Rhinolophus ferrumequinum: one gene and its partners. The protein of the gene in region 2 interacts with the protein of the main gene of each other region in a pairwise test. Links are inferred from orthologs where the notes say so. Each region holds a gene or a part of one and is shown on either strand. Other genes may lie near its edges. The genes, in order: DLK1, GRN, PRKAB2 and ARFGAP1.

What was found.
Region 1: the proteins of GRN (region 2) and DLK1 interact in binary tests that used the Homo sapiens proteins (3 or more experiments, as listed by UniProt). The link is inferred for Rhinolophus ferrumequinum from reciprocal best matches to the Homo sapiens genes GRN and DLK1.
Region 3: the proteins of GRN (region 2) and PRKAB2 interact in binary tests that used the Homo sapiens proteins (3 or more experiments, as listed by UniProt). The link is inferred for Rhinolophus ferrumequinum from reciprocal best matches to the Homo sapiens genes GRN and PRKAB2.
Region 4: the proteins of GRN (region 2) and ARFGAP1 interact in binary tests that used the Homo sapiens proteins (3 or more experiments, as listed by UniProt). The two-hybrid records come from large-scale screens. The link is inferred for Rhinolophus ferrumequinum from reciprocal best matches to the Homo sapiens genes GRN and ARFGAP1.

Annotation. Positions count from the first base shown.
Region 1 is NC_046289.1:3,794,122-3,802,059, forward strand, and holds the start of DLK1 (protein delta homolog 1), read right to left. Parts: upstream 3,002-7,938; 5' UTR 2,834-3,001; coding exon 2,767-2,833; intron 1,570-2,766; coding exon 1,506-1,569; intron 1,018-1,505; coding exon 887-1,017; intron 1-886. UniProt on the Homo sapiens protein: May have a role in neuroendocrine differentiation.
Region 2 is NC_046304.1:39,390,770-39,398,050, forward strand, and holds the start of GRN (progranulin), read left to right. Parts: upstream 1-4,280; 5' UTR 4,281-4,377; intron 4,378-4,639; exon of another isoform or gene 4,640-4,801; intron 4,802-6,433; 5' UTR 6,434-6,468; coding exon 6,469-6,497; intron 6,498-6,950; coding exon 6,951-7,095; intron 7,096-7,215; coding exon 7,216-7,281. UniProt on the Homo sapiens protein: Secreted protein that acts as a key regulator of lysosomal function and as a growth factor involved in inflammation, wound healing and cell proliferation. Regulates protein trafficking to lysosomes, and also the activity of lysosomal enzymes.
Region 3 is NC_046305.1:49,426,670-49,434,157, reverse strand, and holds the start of PRKAB2 (5'-AMP-activated protein kinase subunit beta-2), read left to right. Parts: upstream 1-4,476; 5' UTR 4,477-4,812; intron 4,813-5,144; exon of another isoform or gene 5,145-5,274; intron 5,275-5,516; 5' UTR 5,517-5,541; coding exon 5,542-5,697; intron 5,698-7,488. UniProt on the Homo sapiens protein: Non-catalytic subunit of AMP-activated protein kinase (AMPK), an energy sensor protein kinase that plays a key role in regulating cellular energy metabolism.
Region 4 is NC_046306.1:655,938-663,035, forward strand, and holds the start of ARFGAP1 (ADP-ribosylation factor GTPase-activating protein 1), read right to left. Parts: upstream 3,010-7,098; 5' UTR 2,866-3,009; intron 1-2,865. UniProt on the Homo sapiens protein: GTPase-activating protein (GAP) for the ADP ribosylation factor 1 (ARF1). Involved in membrane trafficking and /or vesicle transport.

The DNA of each region.
Region 1 (7,938 bases), on a different chromosome or scaffold from region 2:
GCCTCAGTTTCCCTACTGGGACCACTCATCTCCGCTAATGTTGGGGACTGAGGGTCAGGGACCCTGCAGCACTGCCTAGGCTGCTGGAGTTTTTTCGAGGACTTCAGTCTGCCTGGGCTTCCAGGCAGGTTTTGCCAAATGAGAATGGGCTCGGATGAACATTTGCAGCCTGAAAATGCAGCGACAGCCAACTCTCAATTGCTCAGGGTAAAGGAGGACAAAGATTGCATAAATTAATGAAATCAACAGCTAACACCAAACCGCACTTTAACCACTTCTCAGCCTTTCCCAGCCCCCAGCCTCCCCTGGCCCTGAGCTCTTCATCACAGCCCCCCGCCCGGTCCTCGTGGCCCTGGCTCAGCTCCTCCTACCCACCACTCGGCACTGACAGACCCCTCCCGCCCCCATTTATTTGTTGTTTGCTTGCTGCAGCCTCCTTAACAATCTTGCGTGTGAATCTGTTGGAGTCTTTGCTCTGTGACCCCCACCCCACCTCCGGCTCTCCTTTCCCCTCCTTGAGCTGCAGTAACCTGGACAGGTTATCCGGGTCTGTGTGCTCCATCCTCTCAGCTTTGTGTGGAATGTGTTTATTTTGTGACTCTTTATTCAACAGGCAGCTCCCTGCCACCCCTCCCAGTGCCTTCTCAGGTGCCGGGTGGGTGCTGGGTGCCAGTGGTGCAGAGGGGAGCAAAATTATGTCCCTACCTGTGAGGAGGCTCCAATCACCAGCGGGAAGTGTATAAACAGGTCATTACCACACAGGATGCACCCAGTGTGTGTTGGAATAAGGTTGGAGGGGAGGCAGCCACGGGGCTGGGGGGAGGAGGGCTGGGGCTGGGGCCAGAGGGCAGAGCTGGGGGTGGGCAAAGGCAGAGCATGTGCCAACCTATGTCGCAGAGGTTCCCGTCCCAGCCATCGTCGCAAATGCACTGCCAGGGTTCCACGCAGAGTCCGTTAACACAGCCAGGAAAGGTCATGCATTGGTCACAGAGGGGACCCTGCCAGCCAGGCTGGCACCTGCATGGGGGGGAGGGGAAAAAGATGGGAACATATGAGGGGGGGTAGGGGTGAAGAGGGAGCTCAGGCTGCTTTCTGTGGAACCAAGGGCCCATGGGGTCTTTGCACAGGGCTGGGCCAGTGAGTCCCAGGAAGCAAACAACAGTCACCTGAATGGAAAAGCTTAAACAGAGGACCAACTGAGGAGCAGACAGAGGGGTCCCTGAGAGCCCAGGATAATGCTGCGTTTTGCCGCAATGGCTTGCAGTGGTCTCATCCTGCAAGGGCTCTCCTGACACCCCACTTCTGAGAAAGCAGACGGGAGCTGTGCCCGTCCCCCCAACAATCCTCTGTCCTTTCTCCCCTTACTGTCTCCAGCAGTTTGCTGTGGGGGTGAGGAAGCTGTTGCAGCCCAGACCAAACGCCCCCTCTTTTCTGCCTGACACTGTGACTCCCCAGGATTCTGCCCTGGCCCCCTACAAGCTACCTCTGGGGAGCCGCTCCATTACCTGCAAACATTGTCATCCTCGCAGAATCCATTTTGGGGGTGGCAGGCCGGGAAGCATTCAGCTCCTGAGGCACAAAAAAGGTTACACCATTCACCCCACAAGGCCCCAGAGGCCAAAGCAAAGCCCAAGGCCTCCCTCAAGAGAGCCCACTACCCTCTGCAGTCCTACCAGCCTGTCACACAGTAGGCACTTCATATCAACCCACTCAGGAAAATTCTCTGCCACGTTCCTGGTTATGGAGTGACCACAGTACACTGCCTAGTTCTCAGAAGCAGGTCAGACACCTTGTTTTCCCCCCAAACAAAATACAAACCCCTGAGTCTTAAAATTAGGGATGAGGAAACAGTGGATGAAAAGATTTTGACCCCTGGGCACTCAGCCAAACCCTCACTTATGTTACGTGAGTTAAAGGGGAGCAGATTTCCAGGTATTCATCTCTGAGGAAGCCCGACAGGTTCACCTGGAGGCTCACAGGTAAGGTGTCTGGATGTTTTTTAAAGGTTCATCCCAGCTAAGCCAGACACCCAGGTCAAATTCCCCAACGTCCCTTACCCCGCACTTCGTATTTTAAAAACACGCAAAGGTTTTGCAGAGCTGACTGCAGTTCTGACACTATTTAAAGATTCTGACACTTCAAGAGGTGCCTACTGTGTGCATTTACTTCAACCTGCTGTCCAGCTTTCTAGACAGCCCCCCCATAACCAATGGTGCAGTGGGGACGGGGGCCACTGCAGGAAGGGGGCAATTCTCTGGCTGTCAGAGACAGATGGCCACTGCAGACAGAAGTGTCGCAGCCCCTCACCTAGAGAAACGTCACACAGAGAAGCTTGGGCTGGGCTCCTGGTTGGGAATATGGGACTACTAGGCAAAGTCACCCCCCACTGTCCCCAAAGACCTGTTCCCAAACGCGCACACATGAACACCCTAAAGTTGCACCCCAAAGCATTTTCACAGGACTCCCAGCATCACCTCCTTTCTCCATACCTCCTGTCTCAGCGCACCGACACCCCTCCGAGCGCCACTTCTGCGGGGCGGGAAGGGGCTGGGGATCCCACACCTCTGCTGCCCCCGGGACTCCCAGGGCCGGGCTTGGCATGCAAGGGTGGCGGGGAAGGTGAGGCGAGCACAGCGCAGGGCTTAGGGTTAGGTGGGACGGGCCGGATTGGGGCGCATGGGACGGGGCGCGCAGGTCACCAGGCGGCCAGGGGGGCGTCGCAGGCTTCCCCAGAGGGGGCGCGAGCCGGGCCGCCGAGGGGCTCACCATGGGCACTGTGGCCGAAGGCCAGCAGGAGCAAGAGGACGGGCAGGAGGACTGCGGTCGCGGTCATCTCGGGGCGGCCGGGGTCGCGGTCCCGGGAGCGGCGCGGGCGCGGGTCCGGCTCCGGGCGCCGCGCTGGGCTTCTGGTTGCGGACGCGAAAGGGGGCGCGGGCGCGCGGCGAGGGGAAAGCCAGGGCTGCACCGGGCTGCGCGCTGCGCTCTCCAATGCCGCCGCCGCCGAGCTGCTGCCGCCGCCGCGCGCGCCGCCCTTTTCGTACCGCGGCCCCCCCGCGGCCCCCGCCCCCCGCCCCCGCCTCCGCGCGCACGGGGCCGGCGCCGGCCAGTCCCGGTGACCCCCGCCCCTCGCAGGGCCACCCCCCACCACTGCAGTGTCCCGGAAACCCGCTCGCGCACGCGGCGCACTCTTGGCTAGACGGGCACAGGTACCCCGCGCGCGTTGAGCACACGGTCCCCACACAGGACGGCACACGGGCGCGCACAGTCGGGCCCGCTTAGCACAAGTCGCATGAACTGAACCTGGGCTGGGCCGCAGACCCCAGGACGGCGCAAGGACACGCTCGGAATACAGAAACACGCACAGAAACATCCAAACACTTGTCGCCAAGGTCCCGAGCACACATGCCATGGTTCGCACACCCAGAAAACCACACATGCACACTCTGAAGACGTAGAATCCGCACGTAATCACACACGCACCCAGAAAACCACTCGTGAAACCCTTATGCATGCAGACCCCTAGCCATAAAAACGCAGGAAAAACGCACACACTTGTAGCCACACACATCCAGCGACCCAGACACATCCTACGACACAAACACACACTGCAACACAAAAGCACGTTATAGAAAGAGTGGGGAGTGCTACCTGCTCAGTCATGGGCGCGCACAGAGGCCAGCGCACACGCAGTTATGAAACCCTGGGCATCTTTCAACATGTACCAGGCCATCCACACAGAGGCACGTGGAGAGCCGCGTGCCACCTGAACATGCGAACACACTTGTCAACATACAGATGCCCGAGCACATGTGGGCTCACAAACTCCCCGCACACGCCGGCACACACCGTCAGGGCCTTCGTCGTGTGTAACAAACCGCGGCTCTCACACGCACAACCACACATCTCATGTTCACAAGCACACACACAGTCCCCAGGACTTACAAACCGCAGGCTCTCGGTTATACGCTCATCAAAACACACTTAAACAGTCCCCCGACACACAAACACGCAGAATCACATCCATCACTGACATGTGTGGGCAAGCTCACAAGTAGTATGGTCCCTCTCCCACGCAAAGAGGCACACCACGCACTCCCCACAGATTCCAGACCCACAGGGAGGCCTCCATCCAGAGGTGGCAAGGGTGTGCAGTGCGGATGCTGGCCCTGAGGGAACCCCCCACCCTCCAAAGAGCTCCTGGGGGAAGCCCCAGCCTGGGCCGTAGAGCCTACACGCTTCTGGGCAGCCTCCCACACCCAGGTCCTGATGTGGGAGGTTCAGGAAACTGCTGGAAGGAGCTGCTAGGCAGTAGTGGGGGTTGGTGAAAGGTGATTAAAGGTGATTAAAGGTGTTTAACCTCCTGGGGATGAGTACCAGGAGGTCAGGACCTTTAGAGCGGTCATTTGTGTATGCTTCATTTGCATAGATTAGTTTGCATATAGATGCTCCCAGGTGCAGGGAGTGGGTGTTCACCCATTTCATGGTCTCCCCTTTCCCACTGTGCTGGTGGTGGTGGTGGGAAGCTCTGCAACTTTGAACCTGGATTGGGGGCCTTGACCTTTGGGCCATCCCACGGGCCCTGGAAGGTTTGAGGTCACACTTGCCGACCTGGGGATAGTGTGGGAAGTTAGGCCAGGGAGAGCCTCCAGGCGCCTGGCCCTAAGGCCCTACCTCTGGACTCCGGAAGGCACATGACTGGGGTGGAGACTGGAGCTGTTCCAGGCTGGCTCCGGGGAGGCTGGAGGGAAGTGCCCACCCCCTTGGGGAAGGCACCCTTCCCTGGTGTTCCCTGCAGAAGACCCAGAAAGAGAGGGGGATGTTGCGAATGGATTTGGTGATGGCTGGAGGGAGCAGTCCCAGTGGCTGTCCCCGACTGGGAGCCCACCCGATGCCTTTCCGTTACCCCCCCCACCCCCCGCCCGCCCCTCTTCCACGGACTCTTCTTAGGTGAAAAAACTGAGTCCAGAGAAGGAAGGCCTTTTGCCCAAGGCCCCAGACTACAATGAGAATGGCAGACAGGCCCAGGCCTGGAGGTCCAAGTGTCCACTGTATGGTGATCGCCATAGCTTCCTTCACTCTCCTCCTCTCTTCCCTTCAAGGACCCTGACCTCAGCCTCCAAAATTATCCTACACAGTGTGGCCGGCAGGTCGGGAAGGGCTGGATTCTCAGCCAGACACTAAGGAGGAGCAGGGGATCTCAGGGCTAAGCGGCCCAGGGTGACCACCCCCCTTCAGACCAAGTCATGAGGTGTGGTGTGGAGTGCACGGGCACCAAGGGAGGGCCGGGGGGCCATCGGTGCCCCCCCTGAACCCCTCCTTTGCCCAGCTGAGTCACTTCCCACCACCGCCTTGCCCAGTTTTGGAAAGGGAGAGGCCTGGGGAGGGCAGTCTCACCCCAGGGCGTCTCTGACCCAATGTCACAGGCTAGGCTGAAAGGGCTGGCTGGCACCTGCTTGCTAATCCCAGCTCCATCCCCTGAGTGCTGAGGGTCCTGGGCCAGTCATTTCCCCCTGAGCCCAGTTTCCGTGTGTATAAACAGGGATGCCACACCTGTCCCCAAAGGAAACTCGGTTTTCATAAGTAGAAAACCACTGTACTTACAAGGCCTGGCCCCTTCCTGCCCTTTCTCCAACAGCTGCTACCAGCCTCCGCCAGTCAGCCAGAGAGAGCTGAAGGAGGGGGCAGAAGCCTTCCAGAGCCCCCTGCAGGGCTGCTGAGGGGAGGGTGTCTTCCTTCTGGCAGGACCTGTAAGCTGGAGCTTTCTAGTTGGTTTGCTCTAGTGTCAAGAAAGCGTTTGTAAATTCAGGAGACTAGAGATTTCTTTTCAGCAAGCAGCCAAGAGAGAGCGTAGCTTAGAAGCCATGGGGAGGGGAGGTTGGTGACTGTCACAGACTTCAAGGCTGCACAGAAAGCATGAAAATACCAATCAGGTACCTTGGGGAGAAGTCAGCACCGTATGCTGTTTGCTAGCAGACCCTGGGGGCTGGGGAGTGCGGGGCTGGAGAAGTCAGGACAGCCGCTCCTCTCTCTGTGTATTCCCCCCCTCCCCTCTTCTCCCCTCTCCTCCCCTTTGCTGCACTCCCCTCCTCTCCTCTCCAAAGTACAAACCTCTGGGATCCCAGAGGAGGCAGGCAGCCCCCACCCACCACACAACATGGCATGGCAGGTGGTCTACACAGGTAGCAGGGACTAGGCCTGCCAACCATGGGGCTGGATTGGAATTCAGGCCTGGGCTTCCGCAGGTCTCCTTCCCTCCTCAGGCTCTGCCTGAGGCCCCAGCCCCACCAGCAGCCAGAAAGTGTCCTCTGTTCCTTCTGCCCAGAGCCCAGCTGGTTGGACAGCAAAGGAGCTGGTGATGGGTGAAAGTTTTCTGAGAGAACCAAAGAAATGTTATCTCCAGTCCCTTTCCCTCCCCTTCTCCAAACACATACACCACCCCCAGCCTGCACAAGACCACTTCTGATGCTGAGCAGGGAAGCCCAGCAGGGTCCAGCTGGAGGGGCCCCAGAGACCAGCTTTCCCTGGGCGTGCACCCGTGGGGCAGGGCAGCTGGGGGAGGTCTCAACTCCTCTTTGACATCCTGCTCTGCACCCCCACGACCAGTTGAGAGTCTCCAAGCCCCAGGCTTTGTTTCTGCCAAGACTGGGTCATGGTTTTGGAGGTAACGGCACCCCCACTGGACCAGTCCTAGTGGGGTGTCACACAGTCGGGGAAACAGGCCCAGCAAGGAGTCACAGGTGCATTCGTTCCCTCCTCCTCCTCCCTGCTCCATCCTCCCTCCAAGAGAGTACTCAGCTCCCCTGGCCCTGCCTGACATGCAGGACGCCTCCTGGAACTGGGCAGGACCAGCGCCCGAAGACTCATGCGGCCTGATCAGAGCCCTGGAACTGAAATTTCCTAGAGACACTGGGGCAGGGATCTCCCTGCCATGAGGCCACAGTCCCTAGGTTATGGGTTAATAAGAGAGTGGGGGCTGTCTTTTCTGCCTCTCCTGACTGCCCCTTGGATTTAGATTCCAGGTTAGTCCCACAGCAGGGGCCATCTCCTCAGGGCCTCCTCACAGCTGGGCTAGGTGGGGATTGCAAGGCCCATTTCAGAGATGAGCACATTGAGGCTTGAAGACCCCGAGACAAGGGTGCAGCTAATGAGGAGCACAACTGGAGTTCAAACCCCAGTCTACTGGGAACCCAAGCATCAAGCTGTCTGCTCAGCCAAGCCTAGCTTAAAAGTGAGCAGGGCAGGGAGGAGAGTGGAAAGGCCCGAAGGGTAGCGCCCGCCTCGATGGGGGGGCTCAGAGCGGCCCTCTTAGGGGCTGTGAGATTCACGCTAACACCTAAGAGATGTACAGCTGCCACGATGCCAGTTCTTTTCCCCAGCTAATGTTCACCTTTGGAGAGAAATTTTTGCTTTTTATTTTTTCTTTTGCGGAGGAGAGGGGTCTTAGGGCGGAGAAGAGAGGGAAACGAGGGGTGCACCCGGGTACATTTAGGCTCAAGAACACGAAGGTTTGCTTTCAAGTTCAATCAGAGAGAAGCCTCTTCAGCCTGAAGTGACGTGCTCAGCGGCTCCTGCGGGAGAACGTGGCGGCGGAGGCGCACACTCGGCTCCTGGCCTCGTGCGCGGGGCCTGGAGAGGCGCGTGACAGCCCAGGCCTGCTGTGTCCCCAAGCCTCCGACGCAGGTCTGCAAGTGACGGAGAAAGAACGGCTCCCCCAGGCCCAGCCACAAGCTCCGGGGAGGGAACAACAGAAGAAAGCGAGAACGAGGTGAGGCAGCAGCGCATTGGTTTGGGACCATATATAGTGTTGACTTCCGAGGGGTCGCACCCCGCCCCCAAACAAAACCAATTTCTCATCATCGATGGTAGGATTCAAAAATAGATTTGCTCGCTTCCTTCCTTGCCACTGGAATCGACGTGGATGTCAAGTTCACAGGTCTA
Region 2 (7,281 bases):
AGAGTTGCCCTGGATGAACCACTTAGCCAGAGAGACACATCCAGGGGCCTCTCCGTGCCAGGCTCCTGAGTGGGACCTCCTGTCACTTTGGTGCCTCAATCCAGCAAAGGGCTGGCCTCCGAGGTCCAGTCCAGCTGGGGCTGCAGCTAGGAAGAACATATTTAAAATTGCTTAAGCAAGCGGAGAAGGCAGAAGTCATGAGGGAAGAGATTGATTGCTAGATTTCAGATGATGTAACAATAACACAACTTCTGACCACAAAAGTTATCATAATCAAAGATAAAATACAAATGACAGATTGGAGGAAATATCTGCAAGATAGGTAATATCTAGAATATATGAAGACTTCTCACAATTCAACAAAAAAAATATAAACACTATAGAAAAATGAACAAAGGATGATAAGATAGTTTTATCTGTCAACTTGGTGGGTGTTTATGGATAAGATTAATATTTAAATTGGTAAATTGTTGGTAAAGTGAATTGCCCACCACAATGTGGGTGGGCCATCTCCAATCAGTTGAAGGCCTTCATAGAACAAAAAGACTGGCCTCTCCAAGCAAGAGGAAATTCTCTAGCGACTACCTTAGGATTTCATCTGCATCATTCACTCTCCTGAGTCTCCAGCCTGCTGGCTCACACTGCATGTTTTGGACTTACTAGCTTCCATAATCAGGTGAGCCAATTTTTTTTAATAGATCTCTTTCTATATACACAGCAATTCGTTTTGTTTCTCTGGAGAACCCTGACTAATACAGTTAAGAACAGGTAATTCACAGAAGAAATACATATACAGCATAAGCATATGCACAAATACTCAGCTTCCCTGATGTCAAGGAGATGCAGATAAAACAACCCGAAAATACCTTCTGTCATAAGATAGGCAAAAAAAATTTTAAGTGGTGTATCCAATGTTGATGAGATTATGGAAAATAAGTTTCCCTAAATACTGTGACTAAGAATGTAAAGTGGAAAAATTTTAAGGCAATTTGTAATTAACATTTCAAATGTGTATACCCTGTACCCAGCAATGTTACTTTTAGGAATTTAACCCCCACATATGCACTCAGAGACATGTTCACAAATATTCATTGCATAATTATTTGTAACTGCAAAAAATTGGAAACGTGAAAGTCTATTAAATGAGAATGGTTAAGTAAATTATGTAACATCTATAGTGTGGAATACTTGGCAACTGTCAAAAAAGAAACCAATAAATAAATGGAAAGACATCCCATGTTCATGGATAGGAAGACTTAGTAAGACGGCAATACACCCCAAATTAATCTACAGATTCAGTGCGTTCCTTATCAAAATCTCAGCTGTCTTCTTTGCAGAAACTGATCCTAAAATTCACATAGAAATTTGAGAAAAGCCAAAACAATCTTAAACAGAAGTTGAAGAACTCCCACTTCCCAGAAGTTGAAGATTTCAAAACTTGCTATAAAACAATGGTAATCAAGACAGTGATAATGAATGGCATAAGGACAGGCATATAGATCAATGGAATAGAATTGAGAGTCTGGAAATAAACCCTCACATTTATAGTCAATTAATTTTATCAAAATTAAAAATAACAAGGCCTAGCCAAAGGCCTCTGGGAAGGTCAGGGAATGGGGCAAATGGGGATGGATTATTCTATGTAAAATCACTTTGTGATTCTGGAAATTTGCTTCTTTTCCGTCTTCCCTGTTCACAGAATGATCCTCTCTACTTAAAGTTGAAAGACAGAGGGAGAGAGATTCCTGAATTGGAAGGCATAAGGGCACTGGAGTGTTTTTTGAGGAATATGGGAGAAGTTCTGCAGTCCTTGATGTCTCTCCACTGTACCCTCTCCGTTGAAGTGGAGGTTCACTGCATTCATTTTGACAAGCTATTTAATAAATATGTTTTACATTTCTTTGCTGTAACAATCAGAGTAACTGCCTATGATTCAAATTTCTGTGAATGCTCAGGCTCATACCTTGACTACTAACTACTGTCCTTTAAGAGTGATGTCCATATGGCCCATTAAGTCATCCAAGACTGTTTATCCCTAGACGCAATGTCCCTAGGATGTTGGGCTTCGAAGTTCTTCAGTCTGCTTTTTGCAATTTTTCCTGTTGAACATTTTTAATCCTTGCGAAACTCAAAGTTACTCCTTCTAGAAACTACAGCATGCACACATCCCCTGATCTTTCTATAATCTTGATGCTGGGAAGTCAGATGACAACATTTATTTAAAATACATGAAATAAGAGAAAAGAGGCTCTATGTGAGGAAAACTTTGAGCTCTTTCACGGAGAAAGTTTATGATCCTTTAGAGACTGTTTCTCAACCTCTACGCTGCCAACATTTGGGGCAAAATAATCTCTGTTGTGAGGTCTGTCCTCCGCTTTGTAGGATGGTTAGCAGCATCCCTGGTCTCTATGCACTAGATGCCAATAGCACTTCCCCCCCGTTGTGACAACCTAGAATGTACCCACACACTGCCAAATGTCCCTGGTGGGGAAAATCACTTCCTTACAGATTTTGTGATATAGTCATCCCTTGGTATAAGCAGGAGGTAAGTTCCAGAACCCCCCATGGATACCAAAATTCATGGATGTTCAAGTCCCTTATATAAAATGGCAGTTTTTGTACATAACCTGTCCACATCCTGCACACTTTAAACCATCTCTAGATTACTTATAATACCTAATACAATGTAAATGCTATGTAAATAGTTCCATACTGTATTGTTTAGGGAATAATAACAAGAGAAAAATGTTCAATAGAGACGCAACCATCATAGGCCTAACGATATAGTACACATCAGCAACAATGTAACCTTTTTTTCCAAATATTTTTGATCCCTGGTTGGTTGACCCCATGAATGTGGAACCCACAGATACAGAGGGCTGACTTGTTTTAGTCACTCTAGTCTTTTTTTCCTTCTGGTTCTGTATAGTTGTGATTAATAGGTTACTTTATTGATTTGCCTAACATTTCATAAAAATTGTGTGTGCATGCATGTACTTTATCAATAGAAGCATAAGCTATACCCCCTTGCCTCAGGATACACAGGAAGGAAAATATGCACAAATGTACCAATGTGCAGAATAGTCCCAGATTCTCAGCAGGAGCCTTACTCACTGTCTGGACCCTCTCTAACATGAAGCTGAGCAGTGCTGCCACAGAATTCCTCAACCCTGCCATGCTTCCATACCCAGACTCCTATTTGGCTCCTATCCCAGCCTCACACTCAGCTCAAGCTCTTTCCCTAGTCTGCAGCACTCTCCATTCCTTCCTCCAAGTCCCAGCACCAGGTTTTCTCTGGGCCTCTCCTCTCTCCTGGTGCATCTCCCATCACCCATCTCTGCCTGGACCAGGCCCTTTGACACTGAGCAGTCTGGCTCTGTTGCTGGCTAATCCATTCTATGTAGTACGTTTTCTCTCCTCACCGGCCATGTCAATTCCTGGAAGGCAGCACCATCTGAAACTAGTAAGCCATTTCCACTATGCACTCATCCCCTGCCCAGCCTTGGGCCAGGCGCCCAGCAACTCCTCAAGCCTACTCCATTGAACTTGGCATTCAATCCCTGCCCAAGGCTGCCCTTTCCATCTGGTTTCCTAGTGCTCTTCCCAGCTTCCCCTGTCTAGCCATTTCTTCAAGCTCTTCCGACCTACGTTAAAATCCTTCCAGACTCAGTTCAAAAATTTGCCCCCAAGGTAGGATTAAATCTCTTCTTCCCACCTAGAGCTAACCTACTACTTCTTCCCTATACCCATCTACAGCATTTGGCACACGACGTTGTACCTTAAATTAGATTTAATCTGAGTCTGTCTCCCTTCTCCACCCCATCCTCCGCTGTGAGCACCTTGAGGAAAGGGCCGGAGGGCTGTTTATCCTGGTACCCTTACAACTCTCCTTCAACCTCAAAGTTTAATCTGAATTTGTTGAATAGAATAGAAACAGGACGCACAAATGTCCCAAATGCAGAAGCGGACATCCTTTAAATGCCCTTGAACGCACCCTTGAAGGGGCAGCTCCCCTGGCTGTCAATATCTCCAGACAGACGCTGCCCGGTCTCCAGCAAACTCTACTAGGCGGCCGCAGGAGGCTGCGAGGCCGGTCCCGAAGCCGGGTTGAGCAAGCCAGGGCATCACATGATTCTCCGATCACATGATCCCTAGAAATGGAGGGTGGGAGAGTCAGGCTGGGAGGTGAGTGTACTGAGTACAAAAACACAGCACTCCAGGATGGCCCGGCCCCTACGTCGACAAGTAGCGAATGGGAGGACGACAGCCCGGACATCTGGCCAATGGAAACTGAGGTGGGCGGGCCATCGCGCTGCGAGGCCCAAGTCCTGGAGCTGTGGGGTGGCTGCTACCCAGCGAGCGCCAAACGGGACACAGGTAAGGAGGTCGGCTGCGCAGACCTCTCCCTTGCTTCTTCAAGGGCCTGGCCATGGGGTCGTGGGGACTTGATGTTCCTCTGGAGTTTTAGCTGGGAGGCAGAAGATTCATTTAGAGAATCTCCTTTGGGGGTTTGCGATGTATGGGAGGGAGTTTTATGAAGGGTGGGAGTAAGCAGTAATGGCAGTGACCCCCTTAGAAAAGGGCAATCTCCCTCTACATCCCAGCATCCCGGAAGCTGCAGCCCCTTTTCCCAAAGCAGGGACCACTCCGTTCTTGAAGACCTCCGCCCCCCATCAGCTGGTGCTGGTGCTGCTGCTGGTGGTGGGTAGTGCCCACGGCGTCTGGTAGAGGGAGAGGCGCCCACCCTGGCCAGGAGCTCAGACGGCTGGGATTTAGACTTGAGACTCAGGCCTTCTCAAAGGTAGTAGGGACTTGGGAGGGTTGTGTCTGGCTCTCCCTTACTTCCTCTCTTGAGGGTGGGACAAGCTAACTTCCGCCTCTCCCAGCCACGTTTTCCTGCTCATTGGTAGTTGGATTGTTTCACCTTTTGGGAATCTCTCTCTCCTCCTGGCACTCAGCGTTGGGGGATGCCATCTAGTGGAAGATGACAGAGCTGGGGGCTTGAAGAGGCTCCTGTCCCTCGCTGGTGTGGCCGTGTGGATGGCGTGGGGTGAGAGAGGCCATAGCTCAGAACACTCCTGAGAGGAACTGGGCCCTCTCCTCCCCCATCCCTGGTCCTGAGTGTGTGCGCATGTGTGTTCAGTAGATGCGTACACTATACTCCCTAACCTCAGGATACCCCAAAAGGAAAATAAACATAAATAAATAACTAGGGTGCTGAATAGTCTGAGATCTGTACCGACAGGCACTCCTTCTGGCCTAAGCCAAGAAGTGGGTGGGGCCAGCTGTAGATGCCTGGGAGCTGTGGGCCCCGAGAAGTTGAAAGGGACCAAGGTCTAGAGCCAGCCTTCTTCATCCTTACCTGGCGGAAGGTGGCCTCCTGGGAATGGTCTTTGTGCTAGGGAGGGGACTCTGAGGGAGGGCAGGTGAGGGAAAGAGGATGTGAGCGACTGTGTGTGTGACGCCCTGCCACGCAGTGCGCTTGCACTGTCCATGCACACTCAGTGGGAACTGAGGCACGGAGACAGGGAGCAAACTTTGAGGCACTCACAATCAGTGGCAATTGTAGGTCTAGGACCCAAGTGCAGTATCCAGGCAGCCCATGTGCTTCCCATTTCTGTCCTGTCCAGGAAATACTTCTGTCCCCCTTCTCTGCTTGGACCCCAGGCCTCTATCCTCCCAGGGTTTGTTCATTCCCATGCACTGTCCATAGTGCCACATGTGAAATGAACCCAGTTCCAATATGCCCTGGAGCTGTCAAAGCCTGTTGTCTCCATGACTTGATATATAAAATTGGTGTATTGCTTAACATCTCTGAGCCTCAGTTTCCTCCTTTGAAAAGTAAAGGTAATAATACTACTTTGGTTGGTGGTTGCAAAGAAGAAAGAAAATATAGAGTGTTTAAACTGGCTCCTGAAAAGCTCAGCAAACATTGCTGTTTTTGCCCCTCTAGGCAGGGAGGGTAATGTCTCCCAGGCCTGCCCCACTGAACTAGCAGGGCTGGCTGATCATGGGGGAAGAGTTGTGTAGGAAGCAAGAGGCTGCACGCTCCCCACCTCTCCCCTCCCACAGACCGTGGCTAGTTCTTTCTACTGACTCAGAGCAGCAGCTGGGTGGGCACTCGTGGTTTCTCTCCCTGTGCAGCAGAGTTTCAACTCTAGGGTAGGGAGAGAGGCCGAGGCAGGGGTATGGTACGCTGGGCGTCTAAAAGGGCCTGGTGGTGTTGGGGGACCATTAGAACACAGGCGTCTTAAAGGCTGTGCGACCCAGCCTGTGTGTCCCTTTCCCTGGGTAAGGACAGGACAGTCAGTGGGTAGGCTGTGGCTGGCCTCTGGGAGAGGCAGCCTAGACTCCACTGGCCACATCACTTCCCTTTTCACAACTTTCACAACCCCGTGGTTTACCATGTCATCATGTGACCTCTCACCAATAGGCCTTTGCAGAGTGCAGGTGTGAGCACAGTATCAGATGAGGAGGCATCTGGAGGGGCTCGCTGGGTAAGTGGAACCCTGACTTTTCTTCAGGACGGTACTCCCTCCCTGCACCCCAGCTACATCTTCCCATGGCTACTGATGGCCTCCCCTCCCCCCCAGAGGTGGCCTCATTTCCCACAGATCAGACCCACAAAAGCCACAAATCTTCCTGATTCTCACATGCCCACATGTCTACACACTCACCCAGAGACTCAAGTGCTGGACCATGTTGGGGACACAGATTCATATGTACTCATGTCAGCATTCATGCTCATGGGTGTACATGCGCTGGTGCAGGTGTGACACGCATGCAGGACACATGTAGGAAACTGAATCTCAGAAACTACAACTTGCTTCCTCTCTGGACAAGTTGTTGTGGGGAGGCTCACGTAGTCCTGGGCCTGGGAGGAGACTGGCCCCAGAATCAGGGATGGCAGGGACTAAGCTAGTTGCCAAATGCCTCTTGATATTCTGCAGGTGGACCATGTGGACCCTGGTGATCTGGGTGGCCTTAGTGGCAGGGCTGGTGGCTGGAAAGCAGTGCCCAGATGGACAGCTCTGCCCTGTGGCCTGTTGCCTGGACCCTGGAGGAGCCAGCTACAGCTGCTGCAATCCCGTTCTAGTGAGTACCCTCAGCCTAGGCAAAAGCTGGCAGCTGGGATTTCCCAAAGGGTCATCTGGAACGGGCCACAGGAGGGGACCAGACTCTGGTCCTCCCATTTATCCTCTCCTCACTTTCCAGGACAAATGGCCCACAGTGCTGAGCAGGCGTCTGGGCAGGCCCTGCCAGATCGATGCCCACTGCTCT
Region 3 (7,488 bases), on a different chromosome or scaffold from region 2:
AAGAGACAAGCTGAAGAAAAGTGTTTAAAATCCTATGTTTAGGGCCTGAAAGAAAAGTCCTGTAGGAAAACGCACATGGGGAGAAAATCAGGTATATTGTTTTTGCAAGGATTGCTTCAAGTGCTAGTAGAGCTGCCACAAGAAGGAAGAGCGGCAATGAACTACTGCGCGCAGACATGGTCGAATTCCAAACCGCAAGTAGATTTACAAATCTGCAGAGGCCACTGGGCAGGCTGTCGCCAGGGGACAGCATGCTCAGGTCACAGTGCCTCATGGTATGAACAGCCTGCATGATCAGGGAAGGTGGTACGTCGCCGAGTGCTTAGTGCTTGGGTGACACAGTCATTTAGCATCTGAACTTCACTGGGTGACTTTTCTTTAGACAAAGTGGGAGCTAATGGCAGGTGCCTAAACCTTTGTGGGCAAGTCAGAGGCAGGATCATTGCAGGTTCAGAGAGGTGGTTTTCTTCAATTGATTGTACTGGCGCAACTGTCCCCTGCCTCGGAGGAGGAGAGCGTTTTTATTCCACCCTGATATCCTTGCCAGGTGCTCTCCTAGTTTTTCCTTCCTTCCACTGCCGAACTTCTGCATCCATATTCTACCTGATATGCTCTAAAGTCTCAGCCTTTTCTCCCTCCTAAGCTCCCTGCACTGTAACTTCCGTCCTTGCTCCTGCAACCACTCTCTTCTGGAATGCTTTCTTTCTTTGCTTTCCTGGCAATGAAATACCCTATTTCAACTTTCCCTCTCTTCAGACGTTTGTCTAGCCACCTTCAGACTGAGCTGTCCCTAAGGATATCATTGAGCCTTTATGAAGGGTTAATTATGTACTTACACATAACGTTTTATACGTGTGAGTTTATTGAATCTTTGTGACACCTTCATGACGGGGACAGCGTTTCACCCAGTACCATAGGGTAACTGCATGCCTACCAACCTTTGGGCCGGCATCACATCCACAAGGGGGAGCTCTCAAATTCTGTCCTATCTTCTTTCTTCTAAACTGTAGTTCCATTTCAATAAATTCCTCTTTGACCTTCTTTCAGTTCCATTTCACCTGTTCTACCTCAAATTTACAGTCGCTCACCTTTTCCTGTCTGTTTTGGATTCTCCTAATCCGAGGAAGCCCTTCTAATCTCAATTAACTTGACCTGGCTTTCCTCTTACTACCTTTCTGTCCCGCTGTTCTTTCTTTCATTTTCAGAATAGAAAGGAAAACGAGGAGGTTATCAGGTAGCTTTCCGAATCCCACTCCTTCCACACAAGTATTGCTATTACCACTCTTCCCCTCTAAAAAGCCCTGTTAGCTCTTCAGATCTATACTTAGTGTCATCAGTCATTCCATTTGGCTCCATTGGGAGGGGGGTAAGTCATTCTCACCCCCTCCTTTCCAGATTCTGAATTAACATTGGGAAGTCCTGCACTGTGGACCCCACCACCACTGCCCTCATAAAACAATTGAGGGTCCCAAACTTCAGAATTTTGTGGTGGGTTCTCTCGTTCTGATAATATCCAAGTCCTCTGGATATGGATCTGCTGTCCTTGCGTCTCTGTATATATCCTTGTTTTCCACAGCACGCCTCTGCTACTGTAGGTGGTGCCTACAGATATTCTATACGCAATTTTTACACTCATTCCTATTTTATTCCTTCACTCTGATGGTCCCCTGACTTGTGACATATTCCTCTTTGTTCTCAGTTTATCTATATCTTCCACATCCTTCAAGCTCTCTTTTAACTACCCTCTTCTACATTTCTATTTAACAGTCTGAAACCACATGATTTGCCAAAAGTCATATATTCTTCTGTTTCATTTGTATCTATCCTATTTCCTCCGATAGATTACAAAGTCATAAAGGACAAAGTCTTATTTTCTTCTCTATTTTCCATAGGCTCCTAGTCTAATATTGATCCAATAACAGGTACTCAGAAAGCACTGCTAGATTGATTGATTGATTGATTGACTGACTGACTGTTGACAGCCACGGCTCCTGTCTTGTCTGCTTCAGGTATTTGGAGAGCCAACGCCACACCATTCAGACAGACTTTATAGATACCACGGTGGAACTTGCTGATCTGGTGGGCGTCAGACCCAACCTGCTGTCTCTGGCCTTCACCGACCCCAAGCTGGCATTACAGTTATTATTGGGACCCTACACTCCAATCCAGTATCGTCTACAGGGCCCGGGAAAGTGGGATGGAGCCCGAAAAGCCATCCTCACCATAGACGAGCGTATCAGGAAGCCTATGATGACCAGACAAGTTAAGAGCAGTGGTTCCATGATTTCAGCATTAACGATGGCCTGGTTCATGCTCGCTGTGGTTTTTTTTGCCATAATTATAACCTATTTTTAGCAGTTCCACTGTCGTTGCCCCGGTTTTCTTTGGGGAGCTGGATCGAGAGATGCCTCCAGGACAACTCTTAGCTTCACATTGCCCAGAAATCTACTTTTATTTCTCTTTCCAACGCATTAATCCTCTTTTCTCTTTTCCCTACAATGAAATCCCAGCTTTTCATTCAAAATGGATTAAAGACGAATCTAAGACCTGAAAGCATAAAACTCCTAGAAGAAAACATTGGGGATAAATTCCTTGACATCAGTCTTGGTGATGATTTTTTGGATTTGACACCAAAAACAAAGGCCAACAAAAGCAAAAATAAACAAGTGGGACTACATCAAACTAAAAAGGTTCTGCACAGCAAAGGAAACCATTATATGCCATTGGTTAAGAGATCTTGCTTCTTTGCCTAGACACTCCTATGTTTAAGGAAAAAACCCAAAAACTCGGTAGGTAGTAAGGAGAAGCAATCAATCCTTCCTACAGAATCAAGTTACTTGTGTCCTATGTCTAAACATGCAACACGCAGAGTTTACTGTGGACTGACTTCCAAGTGCTATTAGAGTCCAAGAATGTCATCGACAATCCCCTGACTAGAAAATGAACACTCTGAGAAGTCCTAAATTAAATTATAGCAGGCCCGAGGGTAGAAGAAAGAGACAAGAGAGGTTAATCAGTTAACAACTGCGGGGAAAATCATCGTAAGACTTGCTCGCATTCCTGAATGAATGTTACAACTCTGAGTTAACTTCCAGGTAGCTATTGCACAATTATCTAAAGAGAAGAGCCAGTAGCCCGCCACCAGCACAAGTGACCACCAGTGCCTCCATTACCTTGCTATGCATGACCTTTCCAGACTGTTGCCCACAACCGGTCCTCAAGAACAAACGCTTCTTCCTTACAGACTATGCACCTATCCCAGAACTAGGCCCTCTTCACTTTTTCCACACGCCCTTTATCCATAGCCAGTGCCAATTCTTTCAAAACAACTTTCGTCTTTGTTTTCTAAACCCGAGATATGAAGGATCCGTCAATGCCAGAAGTGCGTAGCCCTGCCGCTGCTGGTGCAGACAGCGCGCACCAGGACCCTGTCCTTTTCTGGCTGGCATCTGGTTCAATAAACGGTTTCTTTCAGAAAAGCTATTGGCCATGAAAGTTTTTTGTTTCCCACCCCCAAATCAGATAATCCAAAAATCATTTCTATTTAGTTTTACAAAAATAGTTTCTCTTCCTAACAAGTTTTCCATTGGCTAATATATATTGTGTATGCTTCTCCCCTGGTGATTTGACTACTGTAAGGAAATATGTACCAGAGACATATTATTTGGCCCGGAGAGACCAACCTGGAGTTAGAAAGCTGAATAGTACATTAGTTAAGGTTTAATGTGTTATTCCTTCAAAGGCCTTGATTCAGAGTCCTATGGAAAGAATGACAGGAATTGGGGAGGGCAGGGAGTTCACCAAAAGGAAGTAACCAGACAGTCAAGATTCTGTTTTTAGTCTGCAAACTGTCTTTGGTTAAGAGCCAGAAAACAACAGTTTATTTGGGGCTGAGCATAGATCAAAGGGGAAGGAGTGGATTTGTTGGACTTAAGTGGGTGGGTTTTCAACTTAATATAATAATGAACTTTTCAATAAATAGAGTGGCTCATTCCGGAAGGGTGGCTTTGATGGAGTTCGCCATCACCGGCTGTGTTTAAGCCTAAGTGGCATTCTTGTGAGAAATATAATAATCAGTATTCACGTACCCTTCAGTCCGCAAATGTGTATTAAAGTTCACTCTGTCCAAGGTGCATACAGAATACGAAGAGGAATCAAATGGAGTCCTCTCTGCCAGTGTCAACGCAGTGCTTCTTACACTTTACCAGGCACACACCTTCCTCTGAGGACCTTGTAAAGTGCAGATTCTTATTCTGTAGGATGGGGCCAGGTTTTGCACTTCTAACAAGTTCCCAGGTGATGCCTGTGCTGCCAGTCCCTGAAACACACGTTGAGTGCCAAGGATTTCGTGGAGGGAATGAGACATAGAATCGTAACACAAAGTAAGAATTGGTAAATGCCACTAACTGGTAAAGTTCCATTAATCATCAGTAAAAGCTGGGATTTGTCCCAAACCCAGGTCTGTCTTCCCCCTTTTCTGCCCTCAGAGTTCCTTCTGATGTTTTTGTTCCTGCACTCTTTCTTGAATTTCATTTCTTCCGGGTTCGTTAATTGATATGCCATTTCTTAGAATAGCTTTCTCCTCTTCAGAGTAACATTTTACTAATTTATCAAGGTTTATTTCGTAACCACTCCATCTTCCCTGGGGCCCCAGTCGCGGCTGACAGCTCCCTACACCACTTAATTTTAGCCTGGACCAATCCTTCTGCGTCAGTGGAAAGTCCGTTTTCCTATCCCCCCCGGACACCACCTCTCCGGGGCGACTGCCACAAAGACGCTGTCCAGAAAATGTTTTGGCGAAGCTGAGCCCAGGTGAGGGGGCCCGAGAAGAAAACCCCGCTCCTCGGGGTACAGAGCACCGGTGCCTGGCTGGCGGTCCCCAATGTCATTCGGGAACCGTGTGATCCGCGCGGCAGGCCCGGGAGCTCCGCGCACTGACGTTGCCCGGTGCAGTGTCGCCGGGCGGGCTGTCCGGGTGCAGCCAGTCCCCAGCGGACGGGCGGGAGCCCCCGCCGAGCACGGAAGGCCGCCCACGACCGCCTACCATGGAGGCGGCGGCGGCTAGAGAGGCCGGCGGGCCGGGCAGCTGCGCGGCGGGGCCGCAGGGAAGGCGCGCGGGGCGGGACCGCACAGCCGGCCTTGTAGCCATTTTAGGAGGAAACCCGGCTCCCTAGCTCCGCGCGTGGCTTCAATTTCAATAACTTTATTGGTGGCCTTAGCCGCAGAGCATCCATCGCGCCTGTGGCCCGGGGAGGAGGGAGCGCGTCTCAGGAGGTGATGGGGTGGGGGCGTGAGCGCTGGGATGCAGGGGAGTTCCCGAAAGCGGGTTTCCTGAGCAGCGGGCAGGGAGGGGGTTCGGGGCGCTCCTGGAGGCCGGGGAGGGAGGGCACCCACGGGCACGGCTTCCCTGCGGCGGGGATTCCGTTGCCCGTGTCCCCAGGCGCAGGGGTGGGGCTGCGCGCGCCCCTGACGTGGCCGCAGGGGTGTTCCTCGCACGGTGCTTTTCCCCACGGCAGGTGGCCCCCGACACGAGCTGCAGCCATGGGAAACACCACCAGCGACCGGGTGGCCGGGGAGCGCCACGGCGCCAAGGCAGCACGCGCTGAGGGCACCGGCGGCCATGGCCCGGGCAAGGAGCACAAGATCATGGTGGGCAGCACGGACGACCCCAGCGTCTTCAGTCTGCAGGACTCCAAGGTGGGCGTCCCTTCGCCCCCCGTGGGTGGCGATGCTGCAGTGGGCGGGGCGTCAGGGCGCCTCCTCACTTTCTTAATTCTTACCACGCTGATCTGGGTGATGACTTTTTGAATTAAAGGGATTTGGGGGGGACGGAGATGTTGGATGGTAATTCCTCTCGCGGTACTGCCTCAAAATAGGGCGGAAGCGGGGTTCTTGTTTGCCGATTAATCTGTTGGACACATTTTTAAGAGGATAGCAGGATGCCAGCCCCCCACCTCGCCTCCCAATCTTTGGTTCTCCTGACAGGCACGGTGCCCTCTTCTACCGTACTGATGAATTTGTAGTGTCAGCGCTGCCGGAAAACTTTAGAGGTTTCCTGAGTTGCCGCCCATAGCTGGTGGTTTCTCACATTTGCCCTGAGGTGGGTAAATGAGGTTCTTTTTTCTCTCTGTGTCAGTATCATTTTTGCCCTTGTAGGAGCTCAGCACTTCTGACCGTCTTCACCTTGGTCTTGACTGTGAGGAACAATCACTTGCTTATTTGAATACTTCCTCCTAGTCTTGTACATCCATAAAGGACATCGCTGCTCAGTTTTTGTCCCATACTTTATAGCTGTGGTGCTGAGGTTGTGCTTCTTTCGTGCCCAGCTGCTCAAGTGGCAGAACAAATCATTCCAGGATTTCTCCAGTAGCCAGTAGTACCTCAGTATGTCACCAGGGCTGAAAGCGGGACAACCCACGCTGCCCCAAAGACCTTGTGCTGGCGTCCAAGGACTCTGAGCGGAGTGGCAACTTGTGGGCACTCTGTAGAAAGGGCAAACTGAGCTGACAGCACTGTGATTACCACCCAAATGCTTTTCTTATCACTTTTAGAGCTACAGCATTAAGTACGTTAAGGCTGACTGGGATGAATTAGAAAAACGGAGAGATTGAGGAGACGAGTATGTTTGATGTCCCCTATGCCTTCCCACGAAGTAAATGGAGCATGATTTGCCACGTTGGCAGCTCATGGAATTTGGTTGTTTATTTTCTTGGATCTCGACTGAGAACATAATCAGAAGTGAGAGTGATCAAAAGGACCATTTCTTGGGGTTTCTTCTCCCTTCCTTTCTCCTCCCACTTCAGGACGTCTTCCTCATCATGAGGGCTGTCCACCCACCCAGTACTTCTTCAGGGCTTTCTCAAGGTGACCTCCCTCACTGCATTTTCCCCCTTTTCCTACACTGATGACTCAGGATTTAAGGACAGTGTATTTGTCAAACTGTGACTGCAGTAAGTGGTGTACTGAATACAAGCCAGATTGCTTTATTGGAAATGGAACCTATTTGGGATGATTCTTTGCCTTACCTCAGTCTTGCCATTTGTGAAATCAGAAAACTATTTCTGATTGTTCCTAAGGTCTCTTCCAAATCTAAAATTTTACAGTTCTCAACCTTCCTACTGTCTTTACTTCAATATCAATGTTTCACTTAAACATCTCAAACTGTAGTTCGAATTTTCTCTTTTCCGAATGATTTTGCTGACTATTTAACTTGACATAAACAGCCTTTCTGCTAGTCATCTGCCCGCATGCCGACCACAGAAATGTCACATGTGGAAGGGCTTTCTTCCAAACTAGGCATATTAATAGTTTGTAGCTTTCAAATTCTAAACCGGAAATCCTAAATCATAAAAGTAACTGGCAGTGGGGCCACCTTCTTCTGTTCCCAGTCCAATTTGCACATTAAAATCACCTGAAATTTGCTTAAACACTTTATGGATAAAAGGAAACATTTTCCATGTTTCAAACCAGGAAAACAGTGTACTGAAG
Region 4 (7,098 bases), on a different chromosome or scaffold from region 2:
GCAAGAACACTACGAAACACAGCTTCAGAGAAGAGAAGTTCTGTTAAGCTGCCTGGCATCGACAGGGCGAGGCCGCCGTCACCGCAGGCAGCGCTGGGGACCGCTGACGGAGGAAGGCTGTTCTCCACACCCCGAGAGCACCAAGAGCAGGTGGACGTTCCCAGGCCAAGGGCAATGCAACCATGCGGGGCAACATGGGTGTCCCCTTTGCTTAAGCATCACGCACCCCACAACTGCATAAGTTAGAGGGAGTCCTGTCCTCTAAAAAACTTTATTCACAGCAAGGATGGTCATTACTAAAACACACACAGATTGATTAGCCCCTAAAGGGCGACACACAGGCCTGGGCTGACAGCCTTCCAAGACAGGCAGCCACGTTCCCTGCACTGCACACCTGTCCTCCCATCCCTGCTGCGCTGTGGGGGGTGGCCCTGACGGACATGTGAGGAGCATGAAGAAAATGGCTGGCAGGAGGGAGAGAGGTGACAGATGGCCACAGTAGGGCAGATCTACCCCCACGCCTCACAGGGACACTGCTGGGCAACGGCAGTCACACAGCTTGGCCTGAAAAAGCCACTTATTTCTTTACATATGTCTCCTTGCTTTCGGAAAATTCAACCTCAACCTGTGGCCCACTGAATTCATGACCAGGAAAACCAAAATAAAAGATTCCAGCAGGAGGAAGGGGGTGGGAGCCAAGCACCATGTGGGCATCACCGCGGGTCGGGCCTGGGTTTCAGGCCACCTCTACCACCTCCAGCCCACAACCGGGTTTGTGGCCTTTCTGAAGTTTGCCCTTCACTCGACTGCGAATGGAATCTGTGAGCTGTGCCCTGTAACTCACATGGCACCACACGTCCTCTCGAGAACACTAGTCAGAGCTGTGTTCCTGCACTGCTGCCATCCCACACCACCACCTCTCTACCACTTCCCTGCTGCGCGGAAGGGAACTGCTCACACCGGCTTTCCTATCAGTGGTGCAGCTGGAGCTTCACGCTGAGGGGCGGGTAAAAACTAAAGGCAGCTCCGTCCTCTACTTCACCTTCAATCATAGGGACGCAGAAACACGTGATTCATTAAGGGATCCCGACTGTGCACACAACCAAGCCTAAACCTGGAGCCCAGGACTCGAATGTCCCTCAGTGCCCACTTCGAAGCCAGATGAAGTTAAGAAATAAACGTTTGTTTTCTGTATTTGATGGAAACAAACCAGAGCTCAACTGCGGCTCCTTTCTGCCCAGGAGTTCTCTGCACCGCATGTGATGGTCCCCAGAAACCCCCCGACCTCAGGGGCAAACGTGTGAATGCACCGTCCTGCCCAGCATGGCCGTTGGCCATGCCACCACTCTGGTGGAATGCTGTCACTCCACTGAGCGTGTATTCTTCCAAAGCACGAAAGGCAGAAGTGGGCAAACACACACATGGCGAGATGTCCTGGGGGGTGAGAATTTACAAAGCCCTTTGAACACACTGGTGTCACGGTAGCCACAGGAGCCCCTTGCGGGCATGTGTGTGGGGCTGACACGCACACCTGCCCGATACAGGTCTCTACACCTGGCTTCATAGAGCTGTGCCTGCCCTCAGAGGCTGACGTTTGGCCAACAGGACACAGGCACACAGAAGTCAGCACTGGGGTGAGCCTGCTCTGCATTTCTCAGCGTGGAAAACAGCAGAGTGAACATCTGCAGAACCACTACAGAGAAAAATATGTGAAAAGTGAATGACTTAGCTTGGATTTAAAAGGACACCCCCCTCCCCGCCCTCAGTCACTGGTTTTGGATGTCAGAATCGTCGAGTTCTCTGAAATGCTGTTTAATACAAGCAGCTCCTAACTTTCAAAAGTTTAAATATTGATTCATCTTGAAAAATGATCTAAAAACTCCTGTCTTAACACTTGAAAGCAAGATGGCACAATGTAGCTTTTTCTGCAAGGGGATATAACTTCAGCCAATGTTGGACTAAGTGAGGACACTCTGTCCTAGTTCATTAAGTAATCCACTTGTCAGGCTGCAGACTGTTTGGTCTTTCTCAACATCTGAGATTAGAAGAGATGACTAAAGCGCACTGCTCAGTCCCCAGGGCCGTTATACAGGTGACAGGCAGAAACAGGAGTCACCTTTCTCAGAAACCGAACGAGGCATCCAAAGCACTTGTCTCTAAGAACAACCCTTTCTCACACTAATAAGAGTATTTCTGAACTTCCTGGCGGTGTGGCCCTGGAAAGGGATGCCAAAACGAACCCAAGAGCCAGCTATTCCCGGGCCATTATTGCAGCCCCGTCGGGCACTGTCATAAACACAGGACACGGAATATTAGAGCCGCACAATTATTTCTCAAAATCGGTGGTTTGCCATGAAGTTGTTTAACAGGCCAGACAAAAAGCATATAGTCCTTCCACGTAAATCCACGTAAACGGAAAATGTGTAAGTCCTTTCCTGGTTTCTTCTCCCTCCCTCGAGACAATCACCCACCGCAAAGGGCGAGGAAAGGGAACGAAAGCACGCTGAGGCTGCCCTTTCCGGTGAGACGGACCCCTGCCCGCCCCCGCCCCCGCCCCCACACCTGCGGGAGGAACCCTCGCTTCTTAGGGCTGGAAGGCCCTTCATAGTCGGCCTGACCGGACCCTGTGTCCAGGCCAGGTGCTGGGTCCGAGGGAGGGGACAGGGCCGGGGCCGGCTCGGCCCACGCGGGGGGATGATGGGCAGGATGATGTGACTGGTGGAGAATTCCAGATGCTGAGGTGGGGGAGTGGGGGCAGCTCCAGAGGAGAAGGGTGGCCGGCTGAGGACGCGCGTAGGGTGGGGGCGTCCGCCGGGCCGGGCCGGCGGGCGGGCGGGCGCCAGGGGCCTCAGGCCGCGCGCTTACCTGGTGGGCGGGCTCGATCCTGCGCGCCGGGTCGGCCGTGTTCCGGAGGCTCGGGCGGGGTCCGGGCCAGGGTCGCGCAGCTCGCAGCACGGAGGACTCTAGCCCGCCGCCCACCCCGCCGCCACCAGCTTCCGGCTACGTTGCGCCTCCCAGGGCATCACGGGAAGCCGGGGGCTGCTGGCAGGGGCGGGACTTCCGCTCTGCAGGCCGGACCGGAAGCACCGCCCCCCCGTCGCCATGGGGACGCGTCCCGGCGCCGCGCAGCTGCCAGGTTGGCCCAGACGCCGACCGGGGCAGGAGGCCGGTGCTGACGGCCCTGGGGCCGGACTCCGGGTCCTCTTCGCGTCGCTTCGCCTCGTCGTGGTCGGCCCTGCGGATCCCCAATGCTGCTGCGCGGGGCTGGGTTAGCGACTGTGTCAGAACTGGAGGCCTGGGGACCGCCGGCCATCCTTAACGTGGACACGGAAGTGCGTCCACGCGCATCCTCAGGGTCTGTTCGAGAAACTGACGGCCTGTTCAAATTAGGATGATTCGAGGATGGTTTGTTTACACGGGAACTAGTTAGGAAGGTGTGCGTGGCTTTCGGGAAACCACAGGAATTCTGCCGGAGCAGCAGGGCTGTGACGTCAGGAGGCTCCGAGGGACGTGCGGAGGGAGGGGGCCGGTACCCAGGAAGGAGAGAGTCTTTAGGGCCTCTGCCCAGAGGAGCTGTCATCTTTGTCTGAGGGCATCTCCAGCCCACGGTGACCAGAAGGAGAAGCCACAAGAATAAGTACCTGGCCTCTCTGACCTCTCACCCTCCGCTCTCCCTATTTGCCTCCTGTTGGCGGAGCCCATTGGTGTCGTCGGGGGTGGAGAGGGTGGGGGGTGGGTATGGAGCGCAGCTGCAGAGAGAGAGAGAGAGAGAAATGAGGGGGTGGGGAGAGAGAGAAGGAACACATCACACAGGCGGGGCAATCCGGCTGTAAAGCAGTGTGAATAGCAGGATCCCAAACATGGGGAAATGACTGTACAAAGAGAATTGTTGAAAGTGATCTCTGAGGGGTATAATTGCAAGTGGTTGTCAGTTATTCCTTTGTGCTTTTCTGTATTCCACATACTTTTAGGGATCTGTGTAACTTGGGATGGTCCAGTATAAACATTTTTACGTTCCATAACTTGTACAGCTCAGAGAGTTTGGACAAACGCATGCCCAGTGTACCTCCACAACAATCAGCTACAGAACGTTTCCATCGGAGGCAACCACTGTTCTCATGTCTAGCCTCATACCTCAGTTTTGTCTGTTCTAGAACGTCACATAAATAAGACATGCGATATGTACTTAGGATGTCCTTCGGTTAACGTGATGGTTTTAAGATCCACCCATGTGGGTGTGTGCCTCTATTCTCAGTATTTCATATAAATGGAATCGTACAACATGTGACCTTTGGTGTCTGACTGTCACTCAGCATCATGTTTCCAGGGTTCATCCACATTGTAGCACGAATCAGTGCCTCATTCCTTTTTATTCCATTAAATGAAAATACCATTTCATTTATCCATTCATACAATGGTCACTGGACTCATTTCTAAGTTTTGGCTATTATGAATAAAGCTGCCCTGAAATCCATGTACATGTCTTTTTGTGGACATACTTTTTGTGTCTGTCACTTAATTACTTAGAAGTAAAATTGCTGGGTGATGGGGTAGGTGTGTGTTGAACCTTATAAGCAACTGACAGCCTTCCAAAATGCTTGTATTATTCTGTATTTCCACCAGCAGTCTGAGGGTTCCAGTCGCTCCACATCTTTGTCAACACTTGGTGTTGTCAGTCTTTTTATTGCAGCCAGTCTCGTGGGTACCAAGTGGTATCTCATTGCAGTTTAATCTGCCTTCTCTCCATCACTGGTTGAGTGACGCCCTGAGTGCTTACCTTACTCCTCAGCACTTCCAGCCTGCCCTGGGCCCAGCTGAGCATAAGCACCCTCCTGCGTCCGGGGCCACCCCACGGGAAGAGTCACCAGTTCCTGCAATAAGAAGCCACTGGCACTCACAGAAATGGCGAGGGCTGAGATGGTTTGGACGAAGCACCAATAGGGTCTACACAGGCGGTAATATGAGACAACACAGATGTCGGTGTAGATTTCAGATCCTGTGGTTGTGCCTGTGTAGGCTCCACGGGTTCAGAAAGTGAGAGGCAAGTGCTGGATCAGTTAGTTACAGTGGGCTTCCTGGAGGAGGCAGGCTGAGAAGGATGAGGTGTTGAGAAGGAGAAGAGGAAAAGGGAAGGCATTCCTGGAAAGGGCACATTTGGCACCGACTACACCAAACAAGCAATGGAGGCTGGATTTCCAGTTTTCTGATCAGTTTTCTAAAAAGTCAACCTTCCACCCACCCCAGGCTATGGGAGGGCTGGGGCTATGTTCACCTCCAGAGCCAAGACTAGAGGGGTGGCCCTTCCAAGGACATGGCGAGCCCACTGCTTCAGAGCCTGTGCGGCAGCCTCTGCCTCGCTCTGTGGTCTCAGGCTCAATCAGTGACCACGTGACAGAGAAGATGAGACACTCACGCACAAGGGCAGAGTGTGGGCCATGCAGCGAGAGGGCGGGCAAGCATACTGAAAGCATTTTATTACTCCATCAAAACACGGAGATCATTTGTTTTACTCTCAGAACTGCCAGCAGCCCATTACTTTTCAGTTATATGTAATGTGATCATCTTGGTGGTTTCCTCCCCAGGGATCCCGAAGTTCTCAATGTGATTAAAACAGAAGGGAATTCACGGGCAGCAAAATGAAAGCCTCAGTGTCAATGGTTGCACAGAGCTGGAGGGCTCCTGGCATTAGCCGGGCCTCACAAGAGGAACAGGAACGAAGCCACTGCCAGCCAGGCATGAGAGCAGGTGGTCTGTGAAGTCGCTGTGGGGCCTGGGCAAAAGCGTTACTTTTTCCCGGACTCAGTTTCCACATCTGTGAAAGGAGGTCTCCAACTCCCCTTTCAGGCCAGGGGCCACATGTCCTGAGCACTTGCCAAAAGTCAGTCCCTGGGCTCGATAAGGACGACCTCCTTTAAGCCACACAGCAAACCTGTGTACTCTTTCTGAGACGAACCCACTGTTCAAGGGAAGACACTGGGGCCCACAGCAATGAAGTAATTTGCCCAAGGTCAAAAAGCTAGTAAGTATGGAGCCAAGGTTTGCACCCAGCTTCTGCTCCATCCTCAGAGCAGGAAGGCGAGTGGACTTCGGGCCTGGTGGGGTGGCCCATCCTGCCCTCTGATCCGAAACCCAGCCCCAGTCTCAGAGGCAGAACCACGGTGGTTTGTTTCCAAACTTGTGCAAGTAACAGAGAAATTGGTTGTGGGGCTGTGAGCGCTGGTTGTCAGTGGCCCCGTGGGGGCCCTACAGCCTGGTCAGCAGGTCTAGGGGGTCCACCAGCTCTGGTAGGGGTGGCAGAGCCTGAAGAAACAGTTGGGGCCACACAGGGCTGGACCTGCCAGTCTGGTTTTCCCACGTCAACATACAGACTGTGGCACTTTTTACACCCTGCTCCAAGGAACTCTTCTTCCCTTGTCAGCCTTCAGCCTGCAGGTGCACATTGTAATTTCTCTAACTGCGCCTTCCGTTGTCATCACTGTTACCATTCTTGCTACTATGTTGCCTCACCCCCAGGTTGTGCAATGATCTCTCTGTGCTCAAGTGCTTCATGGCGTAGGCCCCCAGAAGTGGAAGCTCTGGGTGAATTCTGGCAGATCCTCCCAAATTGTCCCCAAGGCCTTGGTCCCAAAGCACTGATGTGAGCGTGGCTCTTCTTACGACTTCTGCCAGGCCGGGCATCATCAAGCTGCTTGTCTTTGCCATGCCAGCAGCACGTGTGAGTTTTCATTTTCTTAATGGTGGCGGGGCCAGGCACAGGTGTACTAGGCAGCGTCCATCCCCTCCTGATTCCTGTTTGTCCTCTGCCCGTTTGTGTCTTCTGTTGATCACCTTCCACTGCAGGTCCTTCCTGAAACAGCATTGCCCCACATCTGGAGACCAGAGCATGGGCTTGGTTCGGGTCTGCCCAGCTGAGATGCCCACCTCCTGGCCCCTGGCATGCTGAGTGCTCAGACACAGCCCCACGTAGAGAGGGCCTGCTGGCCCCTCTGCTGCTGCCTCTGACTGATGCACAGGGAGAATGGGAGACTGTGACAGAAGGAAATGACAAATGGGAGGAGGCTGGGACGTGTGACCCTGCTCATTTGAGAGGCTGTGTGC